Linked DNA regions of Caenorhabditis elegans. The protein of the gene in region 1 interacts with the protein of each later gene in a pairwise test. Each region holds a gene or a part of one and is shown on either strand. Other genes may lie near its edges.

The links. Proteins that work in one complex are often made in the same cells at the same time.
Region 2: the proteins of flh-1 (region 1) and nhr-67 interact in a two-hybrid assay, tested with the Caenorhabditis elegans proteins (one large-scale study listed by BioGRID).
Region 3: the proteins of flh-1 (region 1) and ceh-31 interact in a two-hybrid assay, tested with the Caenorhabditis elegans proteins (one large-scale study listed by BioGRID).

The regions. Positions count from the first base shown.
Region 1 is NC_003282.8:9,261,297-9,265,882, reverse strand, and holds flh-1 (FLYWCH transcription factor 1), read left to right. Parts: upstream 1-1,619; 5' UTR 1,620-1,651; coding exon 1,652-1,668; intron 1,669-2,180; coding exon 2,181-2,406; intron 2,407-2,454; coding exon 2,455-3,225; intron 3,226-3,271; coding exon 3,272-3,781; 3' UTR 3,782-4,075; downstream 4,076-4,586. Other genes in the region: Y11D7A.19 (NADH dehydrogenase [ubiquinone] 1 alpha subcomplex subunit 13), read left to right, coding at 1-73; col-120 (Nematode cuticle collagen N-terminal domain-containing protein), read left to right, coding at 4,130-4,206, 4,257-4,341, 4,388-4,487, 4,535-4,586. UniProt on the Caenorhabditis elegans protein: Probable transcription factor. Binds to the DNA sequence motif 5'-[AG]GGCGCCG-3' in the promoters of target genes, including micro-RNA genes, in order to repress expression, and acting redundantly with flh-2.
Region 2 is NC_003282.8:11,167,756-11,175,339, forward strand, and holds nhr-67 (Nuclear hormone receptor family member nhr-67), read left to right. Parts: upstream 1-1,992; 5' UTR 1,993-2,078; coding exon 2,079-2,115; intron 2,116-3,405; coding exon 3,406-3,506; intron 3,507-4,121; coding exon 4,122-4,219; intron 4,220-4,316; coding exon 4,317-4,446; intron 4,447-4,654; exon of another isoform or gene 4,655-4,784; intron 4,785-5,393; coding exon 5,394-5,663; intron 5,664-5,713; coding exon 5,714-5,883; intron 5,884-6,294; coding exon 6,295-6,570; intron 6,571-6,618; coding exon 6,619-6,787; 3' UTR 6,788-7,036; downstream 7,037-7,584. UniProt on the Caenorhabditis elegans protein: Orphan nuclear receptor that binds DNA containing an extended core motif half-site sequence 5'-AAGTCA-3'.
Region 3 is NC_003284.9:3,068,100-3,072,009, forward strand, and holds ceh-31 (Homeobox protein ceh-31), read right to left. Parts: upstream 2,324-3,910; 5' UTR 2,209-2,323; coding exon 2,043-2,208; intron 1,786-2,042; coding exon 1,515-1,785; intron 1,458-1,514; exon of another isoform or gene 1,175-1,457; intron 1,121-1,174; coding exon 775-1,120; 3' UTR 549-774; downstream 1-548.

The DNA.
Region 1 (4,586 bases):
AGAATTCGTTTGTTTGGTGGCACTCACATCGGTTGATGAAGCTCTCTTCCACACAATATTAATGTTCCCATGACTTCTGAGGTCTTTTAAAATGCATTTCTTCTCTTCTTCAGATCGAAATTTTGTATACATCTCAGCACCCCATAAACAAAAGTTAATTTTCAAAAAATGTTTGATAGATTTGATTCTGTTGAATATTTTCGGCTGCATACTTTAAGCAACAAGTGGATTTTACACCAAATTGTTAACTGTGAGCCGAAAAGGCTGCATCCCTTTTTTGATAAAGAACCAAAGCCAAACCACGTACGGGCTAGAAGAGGAAGAGATTATGATCGTTTCTGAATTTTCAAATAATATTGTAATGTTATTTTCTTCATATGTGCTAGTAAAATGCTTTTTATGGGATGATGCAAGTGAATTTTTCTACATTTCTCGACAATTTATTTGCAATGCAAGTAAGCAGCATAATGACGCAAAATTCGCCATTTTTTTTACATTTCTCTACATTTCTCGACATTTGAAAAAAACACTCATTTTTCGTCAAAACCACGTCTTTAGTTCACGACTTTACCTTCCCAGACGTTCACGTTTGTTAAAAGTAGTGTAAAATGGGAAAAATAAAAATAATTTGAGAATTTTAAAAGATAGATGCGTGGCCATTCAACGTGGTGTTGCAAAACAGCCAAATTTGAAAAATCAAACTTGATCATTTTTAAATTTTAGAATTCAAAACCACGTTGAATGACCACGCATCTATCTTTTAAAATTCTCAAATTATTTTTATTTTTCCCATTTTACACTACTTTTCACAAACGTGAACGTCTGGGAAGGTAAAGTCATGAACTAAAGACGTGGTTTTGACGAAAAATGAGTGTTTTTTCCCACGTCGAGAAATGTAGAGAAATGTAAATAAATGTAAAAAAATTGCGAATTTCGCGTCATTTCGCTGCTTACTTGCATTGCAAATAAATTGTTGAGAAATGTAGAAAAATTCACTTGCATCATCCCATTAGAGATGAATTCCTATTTGAAACTGCTGCAACTATGTAAAAAATATATATGGTGACTTATTGATATTTCATTTTCCATTTTCACAACCTCGTGGACCACCAAAGCAACATGCAATATTCTATTTTGTTTTTTAGGCCTGTTCAAATAAGTTTCCAGTGATACGCAATTTATCGTAGCCGTTATTGCACAAAAAACGTCAATGAGTGACAGTAGTCCACGCGCATAACTGTTCATCATTTTTCGTTTCATTTGTTTTTTCTCTGGACAGATCTGTGTTTCTCGCAATTTCTTTTCATATTAAATCGTTAAAATAGTAATTTTCAATTTCCAATTATAAGAAAACCGAAAGTTATTCTTATAATCTCTCAAATGCTTAAAAAACCAACCTAAATAAACAGAAGTTCCTTTTGGATTATTTTAAATTATTTTTGCCAAATCTAAAAATAAAACCAAAAATAAATCAAAATATTCTCAACTATGAGACATTTGTTTAAAAATCGTTTTTTTTTTCGCTTTTGTATTTTACAGGCAGTATTTGTTTTTTTACACACGTTGCCATCTTAATCTATTTTATTCGAAATTTTTATAAAATCTAAATTTATTTTCAGGACGGCGTCTTCCAATTATCTAATATCGGAGGATGTATTCGCCAGAATCGTAAGGCTCCTGCTCAATCATAAAAAAACGCTTGCCTCTATTGTTAATCCTACATGTCTCCCTTTTCTCACGTCTAGCGTTCTTCTCTCCCCTCCCAACATCGCCCTATCTACTGTAATCCAACGTCACCATCTGTCCCCGCTGCCTCCATGCCGTCGTCTTTTTTTGCTCCCGTTTGCTGCGATTGCCCTCCCACGAAGGACCTCTTTGGTGTAAACAGTGGAACGGACCCAAGAGTGCGCGTACGCGGTCCGCGAGCGGCTGACCGCGCACGTCATTAGAAGAGACAACAAATGAATCAGAGAGACGCAGAAGAAGGGACCATAATGTCCCGCCCTTTCCCCGTTGGGTTGAGAGACTTAGACCCCCGAACGCTGCTAATGTTACAAATATGTCATTCCAATAGGATTTTGGTCTACCGTCTGGCTGCATAGTTTTTTACTTCCTATTTTAACCTCATCACTCAATTGGTCTTATCTTCCATGTAACTTAGAATAATTTATTAATTTCAGAATGAACTCCAACATATCTTCTCCATCCCCTCCGTCGTCGTCTTCTCTTAATGCTCCAAGTCTTGCGGATGCTCCTGAAGTTAGATCCGATGATGGAGAAGCCGAAACTTCCGAACCATCGACTTCTGTCACAGCTGTACCAATGGAGATTGTGTCCCAAGCATCTACATCTGCTCCTGTTAACCAGTTGCTCGCGAGCGGAATTGATATGTCTAGCGTTATTAAAGTAAGTTTCCTCTATCCAAGATGTTATTTCATTTGATTGTTATTTCAGAACAACGCTGTTTTACAGGCACTTCTTGCCAGTGCCAGTGCCGGTGGATTCGGAGACAACGCAGGCCTCACCATGTCAAAATTATTGACCGCCGCTCTCGCCAATGGATCCACTGCGGTTGCTAAAAGAGATGCAGGTTCTCCACGTACTGATATCCCAAAGAAAACTCGTCTGAAAGTGTTTTCAAACGGATTTTTCATGACATTTGACAAGCTTTCATCATGTCAAAAGAAATATTTCTGGAGATGTGAATACAAGAACACTTGTAAAGCACGAATGCATACGGATATTGTTACTGAAAAGATCCTCACGTTTATCCATGAGCACAATCACAGTGCACCAATAGATGAAGAAGTTAGACTTTATGGATTGGACCCAACGAATATCGAAAGAAATCGTGTCTACATAGTTGGAAATGTTGCTGATCCAAATCAACGAAGAAAGATCCGAAAGCAAGTTGCGGATAGAGAAGCAGCTGCAAAGAGGCTCGTTCAACAGCAAGAAGAAGAACAACAGAAGCAACAAAGTGCATCATCAATTGTGGCGGCTCGAGCAGCTTATGCGCAAGCAATGCAGAATGGCTCAATACCCACATCTTCTGGGGTCGCGTCTTTTCTCCAGTCAACTTCGGCCACTGCTCCAATGACGTCTCATTCAATGCTCCTTGCGCAGATGCCATTTTTAAATAATATTAAAACGGAGATGTCAAATATGGTGAAAAACGAACAATTCACTCCTGAAAGATACACACAGCATATGTCTCCAAACTTGGTATGTCAACTTAGTGTTGAAAGTTTATTCTATAATAATTTTTAAGCCATTGCAGACCGCCACAATTGCTCCACTAATAATTCCAACAGAGAACTACGACTCACCTTCATATAGACAACCAGCAATCAAAAGAAAAGCTACTGATTTGACGAATGAAGAACATGATTTGAGAAGAGATCCGATGTTCCAGCCAACTTTCGAGCTTGCCAGAAAATTGAGAAAACTGTGGAAAGGAGAACCGAACAGATATCCAAGAACTACTACGACTCCGACTCATCATTTTGAATTCTTCCTTTCTAAAAATGATGGAACAGATGAGCATCTCTATGTTCCAATGAGAATCAATCTCCGTGATGAAGCACACTTAAAAGAGGCACTTCAAGACTTCTGTGGTCAACAATGTATCGGAATGCTTCTTTTCGGAATTTCACCAAAGATCAGTGTAATGTTCAATCAACCCATGTTGAATAATTGGGACAATAATCAATTCTTCCTGCTCGACATTTCAAATCCAAGCCGTTGGCGACTGATGTATGTGGATGATCAAGCTGTGTAATTTAACCGAATACTGATTGTTTTTTATATGTGTAAAATGTAAAATTTCCTCCACTCTCCACCTATCTCATTAAATATTTTCTGTGACATTTCTCCATCGAAACTGGTTTTTACCCAATGTAAACCTCATCCTAAGTCTACGATTCAATCTAAATCACATCTACCTCCCTTTTCCAGATGTTTTTTGAACCATTCCACTAATAATGTGTAATGTTATCTTTGACTTGCTATCAATTATCCTTATTTTTTAACGTGTTCTATCCGTTGTAGGATTGTAATAAAACAGTAAAGTGATAAGCGTGAATGATATAAAACACAGTTGAAAATGATTAGGTGATTGGAAGAAGAAATGAATTTGAAGAAGAATTTAGTGAATTCTGAAGAGGATGAACTTCGAAAAGTTGCTTTCGTGGCGACTGTTGTCAGGTATGTTCCGATTTCCACGTGGCAGAATAGTACAAGCTGGAAATTTTCAGTGCTGCTTCTGGAATCATGTGCATTATTCTAATTCCTGGGCTTTACACATATCTACAATATATTCAAAGCTCTGTTCAAACTGATGCAAGTGATTTCTATTCACATTTTGGTATTTATTCTGCATTTTTAGGTTGGATTTTGTGTTGACGGGGCTAAGAATCTGGAAAATATGTATGAATCAACGAAGGCTGTTGGTTCAGGGCCAGTAAAAAGACAAGCTGGATATGGAGGTAACTTGTAACTTTTGTGGGACTTTTTGAAACTAATTCAATATTAGCTTCTTCCCCCTCTCGAGCTTCTGGAAGTCATCCAGCTCCATCTCCATACGA
Region 2 (7,584 bases), 1.9 Mb from region 1:
TACTAGGGATTCCACAAAATTCGCCTCCCAACGAGAGAAGTTAATGCCTACGTGATGAAAAATTGTTCACAAGTCTGATTGAAGCACTATAGAAAAAATATAAATTGTTTTGTCAGTTGATAACTTTTTACCAACTCAAAAGACAACTGAAACATAAGCTGTCCAAGTACATAGAGCGATGGGATGCAATACTATACGGAAACATGATTGTGATAAATAATTTACAATCCAATGTAACATTGGAAGATCTATTCATTTTACTTCCCCCCCCCCCCCCCCCCACCATTTCGCTAAGTTTTCCAAAAGTTCACACCTGTATGACCCTCGTCTGTCTATCTCTCTTCAACGACCTTTTCCTGCATCGTTCTCGATATTGCGTAAAATCCCAACACATTGTCTTACTCTTGGGTAAAATCGAGAAAAAAAAGTATTTTTGATTGCGTAAGCATCAAAATGAAATGCAGGTGTTCACCACTAAAATGAAATGGAGGTCATGTTCGTACCCTGTGGTACAAGCCACAGAGAGTTCAATTTATATGATGAGCATTTGAAGAATTTTATTAGGTTCTAAAATACCATGAGCCTGGCAGCTGGAAAAATATTTTACTGTTTTTTTTTTTGCTTAGAAACCTAATACTATAGACTACACTGAATTGGTTGTGACAACCTACTGAAGAACAAGAGGGGTAGAACATTAAATAACGAATCTAAGAATTTACAATCGGTGTTACAATGTTAAAGTTTTCAGCAACTAACTTCAAAGAAAATTAAAATTTTAATGAATCAAGGGATATTGGTTTTTTGGTTCGATTTTGTTCTGGCTCTCCGAGAGAGAACTATATGCCTGATACTGATATATAAAAAATAAAGTTGAAAATGAAGTTTGTAAAAAATACAGCTTGAAATTCGTCAGTTTTACGTTTGTGGTTCAAGCAAGTCTGGAACCTAGAGTTTCCCTAAAATAATATTTATATTTAATTTTTCACACGACCTGAAGTTTTCTCTCAAAACAGTCTACTACATATTTCACATAGAACCCCAGACTCCATCTAACTTTTTGCGGCAAAACTACCATTCCTCTGCTCAAAACTTTTGCTCCAATTCTTTTCATCATAAAGTCTTTACTGATGACAATGAATGGTCAAGTATTCTCAGGGATGTCGTCGGGTCTTTTGAGCTCTTTTGAGTCTTCCAAAACTCCTTCAACTTGTGCCTCCAAAAAGATTTGAGGAGGCATTCTGAAGAATGGGAGCAACAACGGCAAGAAGTGTGTGGTGATTGTGCGCGGGATGAAAAGAGAACAAAGTTTTTGGGATGAGGTGGATGCTCCGTGAGCAATAAAAGGATCCGACAGGAAGGGAGTTTTCAAGAGTAATATTGACTATATAGGGCAAATATAATAACATGACCAAGGATACAGAACTGTTTTCCGAAAAAACCAGAATCCCAGAAAAGAACCACTTCTTAATTGAGAAAGTTTCAAAATTTGTTCAAGTCAAACTGCAGATAAAATGTATTGAAATTAAATAAAAATTGAAAACTCCGAGTTAAAGTTAAATTAAAAGATGAGTAGAGTGTGGTCAATCATAGTGGTTGCTTGAAAACTTCACACACTAGTAAAGTTTACAGTGGTCTAGGTTTTCAGATTTATAGTTTTCCAAAATAAGTTAAACATTTCAACTACAAGAGCACCTCAGTTAGATTTTCTGTACTCTGAACAATGTTACTTGAGCTATTAACATAAAACTACCACTCAATTGAATAATTTGGCATTCACCTGGATACTATGAAAACAAAAAATTGAATATTTGAAAAACAGTACACTAGAAAAACTCTCAAAATCAATCAGGGCGTGGCTTATTGCATCGTCTACAGTATCCCTCAGAGTCGTTTCTCTTCGCTTTCTCTCCGTCGGCTGTCAGTGGTGGTCGCTAGCTCCGCCCATGATTTGACGACGTGACTCGCCTTCGCCTTTCCGACTGCCTCTCACTCTCGCCTTAAGAAGAGAGAATTTGTCTTTTGGGAATCTGTGTGCTCAATATTCCGGAATTCTTGAATTAATGAATCTGGCGCCAAGAATGATGACTGCGGTTTCACAGATGTCGGTTCCAAGCAGTAAGTCAATTTTAAAAAGTTAATCGTCAACATCTAGAATCAGAAGATGAAAACTTCTACTTCGAACTTTCTTGGAAAAATGAGCTTTCTTAAACTTCCAGGCTTTAGCTGTAGAAAGCTTTTTTCCAATTCCCAACTTCAAAAGAAACTCAGATTTTAAAATTGGGATCTTGAGCAATTAATAAACGTAGGATGAGTTGCCCGGTGGGCATACTTCACATTCTTAGCCACATAAAATTGTTATTTTCTCATTTTAATTTCAATTTCAGAGTAGATTATTATTAATTTGAAATATTTAGGGAAGAATTTCCTAAAAATGGGTTTGGAAGTGCATAATATCGAAAAAAAAAGTGGGAGCTTTTTTGGCAAGATACATACGTATAGGATTTTGATACCTTCACAAAATTTTGAAAACCCTATGAAATACTCCTGTTTTTTTTTAAATATTTTTTTACTACCCATTGTCTTCAAATTTAACAAAATCTGAACCTTGACTTCTTCCATGGGATAAATCCATTAATATACAAACTACAGTAAATCCATGTATCTTTATATATGAGTTCTAGAAGCCTTAGTGCAGATGGGTTACTGTAGTTGTACCTAAACTAGTTTGTGTGAATGAAGAAAGAAAATGAAGAAATGTCTAATGTGAATATCATAATTTGAATGCATATCAATTTCAGTGTGAGAAAAAATTTCTAACTGAAAAATTAAGACATTATTTCAGAACCCTGATTTCAGAACTAAAAAGTCACATAAAACTTTCATAAAAATTCCTTTTTTTTTCCTAATCTCCCCGGCACGAGAACTCCAATAAGTAAAATAGGAAGTCATTAAACATAGTGACTCAATATTATGGTAGAAATGATTAGGTGTGAATTATGAGTTAGGTGATGGAATTAGTACAAGAATGGAAGAGTTTCTGTGGGAGATGCAGGTGTTTCGGGTCAATTGTGACACGTGGCACCTGTGGATTTAGCACCATTTAGCTAGAACTAGAATTGATTTGAAAGGTCATGATGTTAAATAAAATTAATTTTTTAAAGTCATACGAACAACATCAAAACTAATACTCAATATCCAAGAAGTAGAAACTCAATTTGAAATATTGTTCACTTCTTGCCTTTTTCTTTCAACAAATCCATTTCCATTCTGCCTTCATTCTCTTTTCATATTCTATTAATTAGGCAGGCAAGAGACACAGGAAGTGCTGAATAATTGGAGTCTCTCCTTCTTGGCTTTCTTGATTTCCTCATTCTATTTCACACCTAAAAATGATTATTTCTTCAGGTCGAATTCTATTGGATGTTGATTGTAGAGTCTGTGAAGATCATTCGTCGGGGAAGCATTACAGTATTTTTTCCTGCGACGGGTGTGCTGGATTCTTTAAAGTAAGTTTTAATGTTTATTGAGCTCTCATTTTTTAGATAGCTTAAAATATTCGAATTTGAGAGTAAATTTTAGTGGAAAATTTTTAAAAAAGTATTATCTAGACGCGAAAGTTTCCCATTTTTGCTCTAAAAATACGGTAACCGGTCTCGATGTGAATTTTTTTTATTAAACGGGAAAAGGTATGTGCCTTTAAACTGTACTGTAATTATGTACTCTCGTTTCTGCCGAATTTTTCTCCTGATTTATTAAAAATGTATGTGTTACATCTGAATTTTATTAAAAAACATATATTTTTATCGAAAAACCATCCAAAATTCGACAGAAACAAATTTATTGAACTACAGTACGTTTTAAAAGCGCACACCTTGGTTAGACAAGGTACTAATTTTTGCTGAAACTAATTGTTATATTATTGAATTTCCGGATAGATAAAAATGTGTTAATCTTCAACAAAAAATGTCTACAATCATTTTGCAACATTAACTTTGTTCTGCTCCGATTATAATGTATGTCTAGGATTTGAGACCTCATGAAATATTTTTTCAATGTGAATTGACTTTCAAATTTCCTTAGCATAATTATCATTGAAATTGAACAACAATTCCAAATTTCAGCGTTCAATCCGTCGTCATCGTCAATACGTGTGCAAAAACAAAGGCAGTCCATCCGAAGGACAATGCAAAGTGGACAAAACACACCGCAACCAGTGCAGGTGAGTTCTTAACGGTCACAGATTAGTGTTACGATCCCCTTTTATGCTCTTTACGTTCGAGTCCATACATTGATTGATGACACTTGGAGAATTTCAGAGCTTGCCGACTAAGAAAGTGTCTGGAAATTGGGATGAACAAAGATGCTGTCCAACATGAGAGAGGGCCTCGTAACTCAAGTTTAAGACGACAACAGATGATGTTCGATCATGGATCCTCTCCTAATTCGGTATGTGTTTGTGGGAATCTTAAATTCGGATATGTTACAAGGACAAAATATTTAATAATTTTAATTAAATTTATCGATTCTAATTTAGTTTTGAATTCATAATGACTTTCAAAATAGTTCCATTTAAATCTCATGATTACCGATCTTTCTCTTTCTCACTCACAAAAATCAGTGACTAAAGTGAAGTGAAAAAAGGATTTTGAGTAGAATTAGTACAGTAATCCGCAGGTGGATTTTGGTCGAGTTGACACCGACGCGGCGGCGACGAAAAGTAAAAAAGGTGAAAAGTTGTCGGTTGCTGTACAAATCTACAGTACCACCTGACAGGTGATTTGTCACTCTTGAACATAGTCAAACATTTTACTGGCGAAGGGAACACCTAGGATATAGAGCATGGTCAGAAATATGATTGCAATGAATTGCAATTTTCTACAACACGGTAACTTGGTTGTTGCCGGAAGTGCTGAGTATTCGTTAAGTTGGCAATTTTTTGAATTGGCAATTATCGAAGAATTAAACAAAACATTTTAATTTTTTTGTGGTACGTTTTTCTCAAAACGTCAAATTTCAAAAAAATATCCTCTAATTATCAGTTAAACACCAAATACGTGCCAAAACCGTGACAGATTCTTTAAAAAAGAGCACCTTGAAAAATCAGCCAGTTTCAAAAACTTGTGAATATATGTGTATTCTGGGGCAGATGTTTTAATGTTTCTATTTGTATTCGGATACAAATTACTCAATAATATTGTGCTCTTATGGATCTTAAGTGGGGACAACATAGTGTCAAATGATTATGTTGCATAAGTACTTGTTAGGGACAGCTGATTGGAAGAATTAGCAAATATCGTATACAAGAGGAAATTATGTCTAAAATTTCTATAATTAACTTTCAGTGAAAAAGTTAATATTATTAAGTAGATGATTTTAATTTTCCTTCATTTCAGCCGGAAATGGGATCAGAAAGTGATGCAATAATTCTTCCGACATCATCAATGAATCGTGACACAGTGGCCGGTACTGCTGCTCGAATCTTTTTTGCACTTGTTGGATTTTGTCAGAATCCTTTGAATGGAGTACCTAAAGAACGGCAAATGACAATGTTTCAACAAAATTGGGCAGCACTTCTTGTTCTCCATGCAACTGAAACACGTGCCATAACTTCTAAGCAAATAAGGACTGAGACGATATCCGGTAGCTCAGAGCAAAGAAATGCGGTATGCAGTAATATGAATCTGAATATTTTGAAAAATTAATGAATGTTCAGGTTGCTAACGCGTTTGAAATAATTGAACGTTTACAATTGGATAATAGAGAATACATGATGTTGAAACATTTCACAATGTGGAGAGATACACCAAGTGCAATTCAAATTGTCTTTCAGTTAGCATCTATTCAGAATTTCACACATAGAACCGAACCGACGAGATATATCCAGTAAGTTCCTTTTTTTATTTTTTTTTTCAATTTTCTTATTTTTGGAATAATGTGAGACTTCACTATAAAGGTAAACGCTGTTTTTCTGAGTGGGTTGCAACGATCAAAGTTAATTAAATATTGTATTTGCTAGTTTGAAGGTTGCTAATTCTTTTTTAAAATTAATTAATTAACCAATTGAAAAAGTTCATTTATAGTTTTTGTACGATTATCCTATTCAAAAGTTCATTTTTCGGCTCAAAATATAAAAAATTCCACAATTAAAAAAGCAGTGTTTTTTGTTCTCACAAAAAATGCAAATTATTTCCTATTTGCTTAAAAAGCGAAATTGATTATTGAAAACTAATGAAAACTAAACGCTCTAGTACCATCTTTCCTTCTGAAAACTTCACAGTCTGAAACCTATTTCAGATGTATAAATGCAATTGCCGCTATTCCAACAACTTCAATAATTGATGTTCTATTCCGCCCTTCAATTGGATCAGCTTCAATGCCAAGACTTATTCAAGACATGTTCAAGCCACCACAACAACCCACTCCTACGTCACTGTTTCCAATGGCAAACTTCAATTTGAACTTTCTATTAAAACAAGAAAAAACCGAAACTGAAGAGGGTGAAGATATTGAAGAAGAGGATGATGCGACGAGTAGCAATCAATTTGATGAAAATTCTTCTACTGATGATAGGTATGATGAGCATTTATTAGTACAGTGGATTAACTGAGTCTGTTGCAGATCTGTCGGAGAACTGGATCCCGTTCAACTTTTCTTGGCTCTTAATTCCTCAACTCAGCCTTCATCGGCATCATCCCCTTCCTCTTCAAGACCACGTCATTCGATTCGATCAATAACTGAATTATTATCAATTCAAGAAGAAGAGAGTGTTAATGTTGAAGAGGTTTAGATAGTAAATTCATGTTTCATATACAGTAACTCAATTATTCTAAGTATCTCTTTTCATTGTCTTTTTCACTCCGTTTCTTGCCTCGCCCGGATTTTCATTGGATTTTGATTTATACTTTCAAAATTTCATTTTTCAATTGTAAATTTTTAATTTAAATTTAGAGAAAAAAAATGGTAAGCTTTAAAACTAATTTATTATTTTCTGATTTATATTGTGAACAGATGAATAAAACGTTTACAACAATGGCAATTGGCATACAAACATCATTAAAAAAAGGTGAATCATACAGTTTTGAGAAGACTACATATGATTCGAAACATAAAAAACAATAGAAATCAATAAATGATGGGAGAGAAACCGAGAGATTTATTGGAAAATGGAACGGTTGAATGTCATATTGTGTCATCGTCGTTTTCCTTGTTAATGGCCTCGTTTCTTATCATATCCATATCATTCTGATATTCCCATTCAACTAGATGACCAAATCATTAGCTGACTGATTTCCCCCTTTTTAATGATTTGTTTATGGTTTTGTCAATAGTTTGAACGCGTTACGTTTTTGTAGATAAACCTGATTATGCTAGAATATTTTTTATTGAGATTTATTGACTAATTTAAAGTTTTAAACTAACAGAACAACAACCAATATTATAAAGAAAATGCTTTAAACTCATTTTTGAACATCCAGAACATCCGAAAAATAACCAACATGGTTAAGATTTTTCAAAGTTTTTAGTCAAAGTTTCGGTATCTATTTGCAATTTTCAAAAAACATGGAATATTTTCAGTAATTGCTT
Region 3 (3,910 bases), on another chromosome or scaffold:
GTTTGACATTCCAATACGAAGACCAGTTCAATAAATCATTCTCGCAACGACCCCTGAAACGATGACATGATTGAACAATAATTCGTTAACAAGTCGACTCAATTGCAATAATACACGGCTGCGGTCTCCTTCGACAATTGTCATCTTGCTAAACAATTGAACAAGACGAATGAAAAGAAGGTTGAGGTTTTGACAAACTGTACAGGACGCGTCTCTAACCTCCTTTCTCAAATTGGGTGGCATCATTGTTCGAAAAAGGTGTCGCTATAATTGACGAATTATTCGACTCCTAGGCAGACGATCTTCAACTGTAAAGGTGTTACGGAAAATCTACTCAGCTATGAAAGTTGGAAGGCCTCCACTTTGACGAGTAACGTAGAGTGTTTGAGGTGGAGAGGAAGCGGGACGACTTTTTGCTTCCCCCCAAAATTGTCTATTAATGAGAAGGCTAATTGACGCACTTGGTGTGAGGAAATCGCTACCGTAATTTTGTCATTTGGAATGATTCGCAATGTTCTGTTACTTGAGCGAAAACACTCCAGCGTCCGTTGACTGTATTGCATTTTATTATTTTATAATAACCAAGACATTGAAAGTGAAACATTACAGAAGAAATTAAGAGATCGGATTTTGAGAATGAGGGCAAAATTAAAGTGGCTCAGCAGGAAAAATAGAAGAGAAAAACAATAGAAATTGAGAATTTGACATTTTGCGTGATGAAAACCGGATAAATACTCTAAGCGAAAAAAAAACAATCTTCAAGGTGGAAAGGTATTATTCATCCTCATCTGATTCTTTTTTAGAAACAGATGCATTTTTTACAGAATCAGGAGATACTGATGGTGATTCTTTTGGGGAACTGATATCATCTTTTACGTTTTGCGATGCTAGAAATTGCAGTAGAGAATTTTGAGAGTTGCTAGCAGGAATCATTGAAGAAGTTGGGACGACTAATGAATTGAATACAGGGCGATTATTAGAAGCTCCAAACATTGAAGTGTTCTGTGATAAGTAGTTTGCCCAATATGGATTTGTTCTTAGAAGTTGTTGAACGGCGGCCATATTTCCAGCATCGTGAAGAAGATCCATACCAACAGAGGCTTGTCGTTTCCATTTGGTTCTGAAAGTACCGTGAACATTTTTTTTCATTTCAAGCACTTTTTTTCTCAAATTTTTTGCGCCTCCCAGGGTAGCAGCTCCAATCTCAAAAATTGGATAATGACAGTGGAGCCGTTTCCCGTGGGGTGGTTGAAAGGAGTGGGGGAGGGCGCGGAAAAAAGATGACACTACTAAATAAAATTGGTGGGCGCACGCAAAGAAATTGAGGAGGGGTGAGAGCTTTGATTAAGATAAATTTCGATGGGGGTGAAGCTTCTCGCTAATGCACTACAATTAACACAAAGTGGCGTGTTTAGACTCAATTCTCGCCCAACTGCTGGCGCAAAGAGCCACACGTTGTTGTTTTTCGAGAAAAGAAAAAAAGTTTGCCTAATTAAGGAATATAGCCGACCAACCTTCTATTTTGATACCATGTCTTTACTTGAGTATCTGTTAGCCCCATTCGATGAGCCAGCTCCATCCTATCTTGAACAGACAAGTACTTCTGCTTCTCAAAGGTGTTTTCTAGCTCTTGAAGTTGTTTGTCGGTGAAGATAGTTCTCGCCTTCCGAGCCTTTTTTGATCCCACGCATGTCGGACTCTCGTTCACAGATCTTTCGGTATTCGGGCTCCCAATTCTAGGGGATGATGGCGATTCCGAGGAATTAATGGAGGTAGGAGATGGATCTACAATAACAAATAAATAAAGAAAACTGTTTGTATAGGTAAGAGGAGAACAAAGGATCATAATTGGTTGACCTATTACTATTACAGATTACCGTCCATGTGACTACTGGAGCGTTAATCCGTTAAATATCATTTTTCAGGTTAGTTGTACATTCAACATTCTCATGGAAGTCTATGTAGATTAAAGTGTTAGAGATGGTTGAACGAACATACAATAAATGCAATAACTTTAGGAAAATGGTGGCAAAATGGATTACCTGGTTCGTTGGTTGAGTGTGAAGTTGGATCAAGCAGATCAGAAATGCGAAAAGAGCTGTTTAAGTTTATCTTCGCGCCACCGGAAGAACTCTGAGCAGCAAGTTGGTTGGTGGGGTCTAGAAAGAATGCAGGAATCAGAAACTGACGGAGATCCAACATTGACATTGTTATGATAACCTTATCAGATGATGTAACAATACAATAAGTTTTGTAATAGTCAAATTGAATGACTTTTAGACAGTAGTTTAGTGTGAATGAGTGGGTTGGAAGGGTCCTGTTGCCTGCAGTCACTAAACGTCGCAAACTCGTTGATTGGTCTAGTCACGCCCATGCGAAGTGGAAGGCGGGGCGTGTCGAAGAAGGGAATAGAATGGATGACACCACGCGGTTTTGTATTGAGAAGTGTGGTCCGTGCAATCCACCTTTTTGAAGCCAATCAAGTGTGATAATGGGGGACGATGAAGCTGAAAACGAGCAGCTTCGAGGAAAAGACGAAAAGCAAAAGTTTCGGAAATGAGGCATTCAGGTGAGAAGAAAACAATTCAGACAAATCCCGAAACTGCCGAATGCAAACTATGCACACTAGGCTTTTCCTAAAAGCAGAGTAACAACGCAATGCAACATGATCCAAACGAGCAATGATTTTCAGATAAAAAAGCACTGAATAGAATTCAATATAACTAGCTATGCTAGTGTAAAACCGCAGAAAAAATCAAAAATAGCATGCTGCTTCGGCGTGCAAAAACTAGCGACTAAAGCTAAAAATGAGTTTCAGCCCGAATGATGTTTCAGCTTTCTGACTAAAAGATGATGAGGTCTAATAGGTACATTGTGTGTGTTTTAATATTTGATACATCACTGATTTGAAATCAGCACAATGGAAAACACTATCTGAAAAGTTCAGTAACAGTGACTACTTTTGATAGTTCATTTTGCATTTAGATTTTCCTGGCTGTGATCTTAAACTTGCTTCACACGTACAGTTCAGATTAACTGGTAACATCTTTTGGTACTTGTGTAGTATACCTAACACAAAAACATTTTCCAGTACATTTTCCATGCATTTCTTTTGAAACATAATAATTTATTCAAACCATGAAATAGATTTGCATTTTTAGACTTTGAAATACTTTAACCTTAAGCCTATTATCGGCAAAAAGGGGTTTAATATTTTTGGACCAGGTGTACTAAACTGGTACCTAATTTTTTTAATCCCAGATCCGCAAAAATCAGATTCTCAAAACACTAAAAATTATAATAAAATGCTAAGTAAGTAAATTTTTTATTTATTTTGAGCTTTATAGGAACTAAAAAAATGTAAACGTTTTCCGAGCTTTTAATTTCTTGAGCATTTATACTTAATTAGAGTTTAAATTTGTATTTTTCGGTAGCCGAGTTTGCAATAGTCTGGGTTCCTCTTTTATAGACTATTATGAGCAAAAAAACTTTGTTTTACATATTGAAATATTTTAAAAATTATAAACTAATATTTATAGTTGTAAAAAATTTTCAGACCCTTTATGTTTGCTTGAAAATTTGTTCAAAAAGTTTTCAATAAAATATCATGTTGAAACATCGTTATCATTCTGAAAAATATATTTGCAAAGTGAACAATGTCAACAATCGTTATATTTTTCACAACCGATTCATGAACAACGCGAATCTATTGTTTGTTATCAACGTCTAACAACTTACTAATACTTAATTTCCTGCCGTATTACCTCTCTAGTTTTCCGGCTGTTTATGTTTGGCGGCCACCTCCGTAAAACGTTAACTTAAACGTACAAATCTAATTTTATGCTGTCCCATCGTTTTCCCTCTTTCCCACTAACTAATAAGCAATATTTCCGGTCACAAACGGTCGATG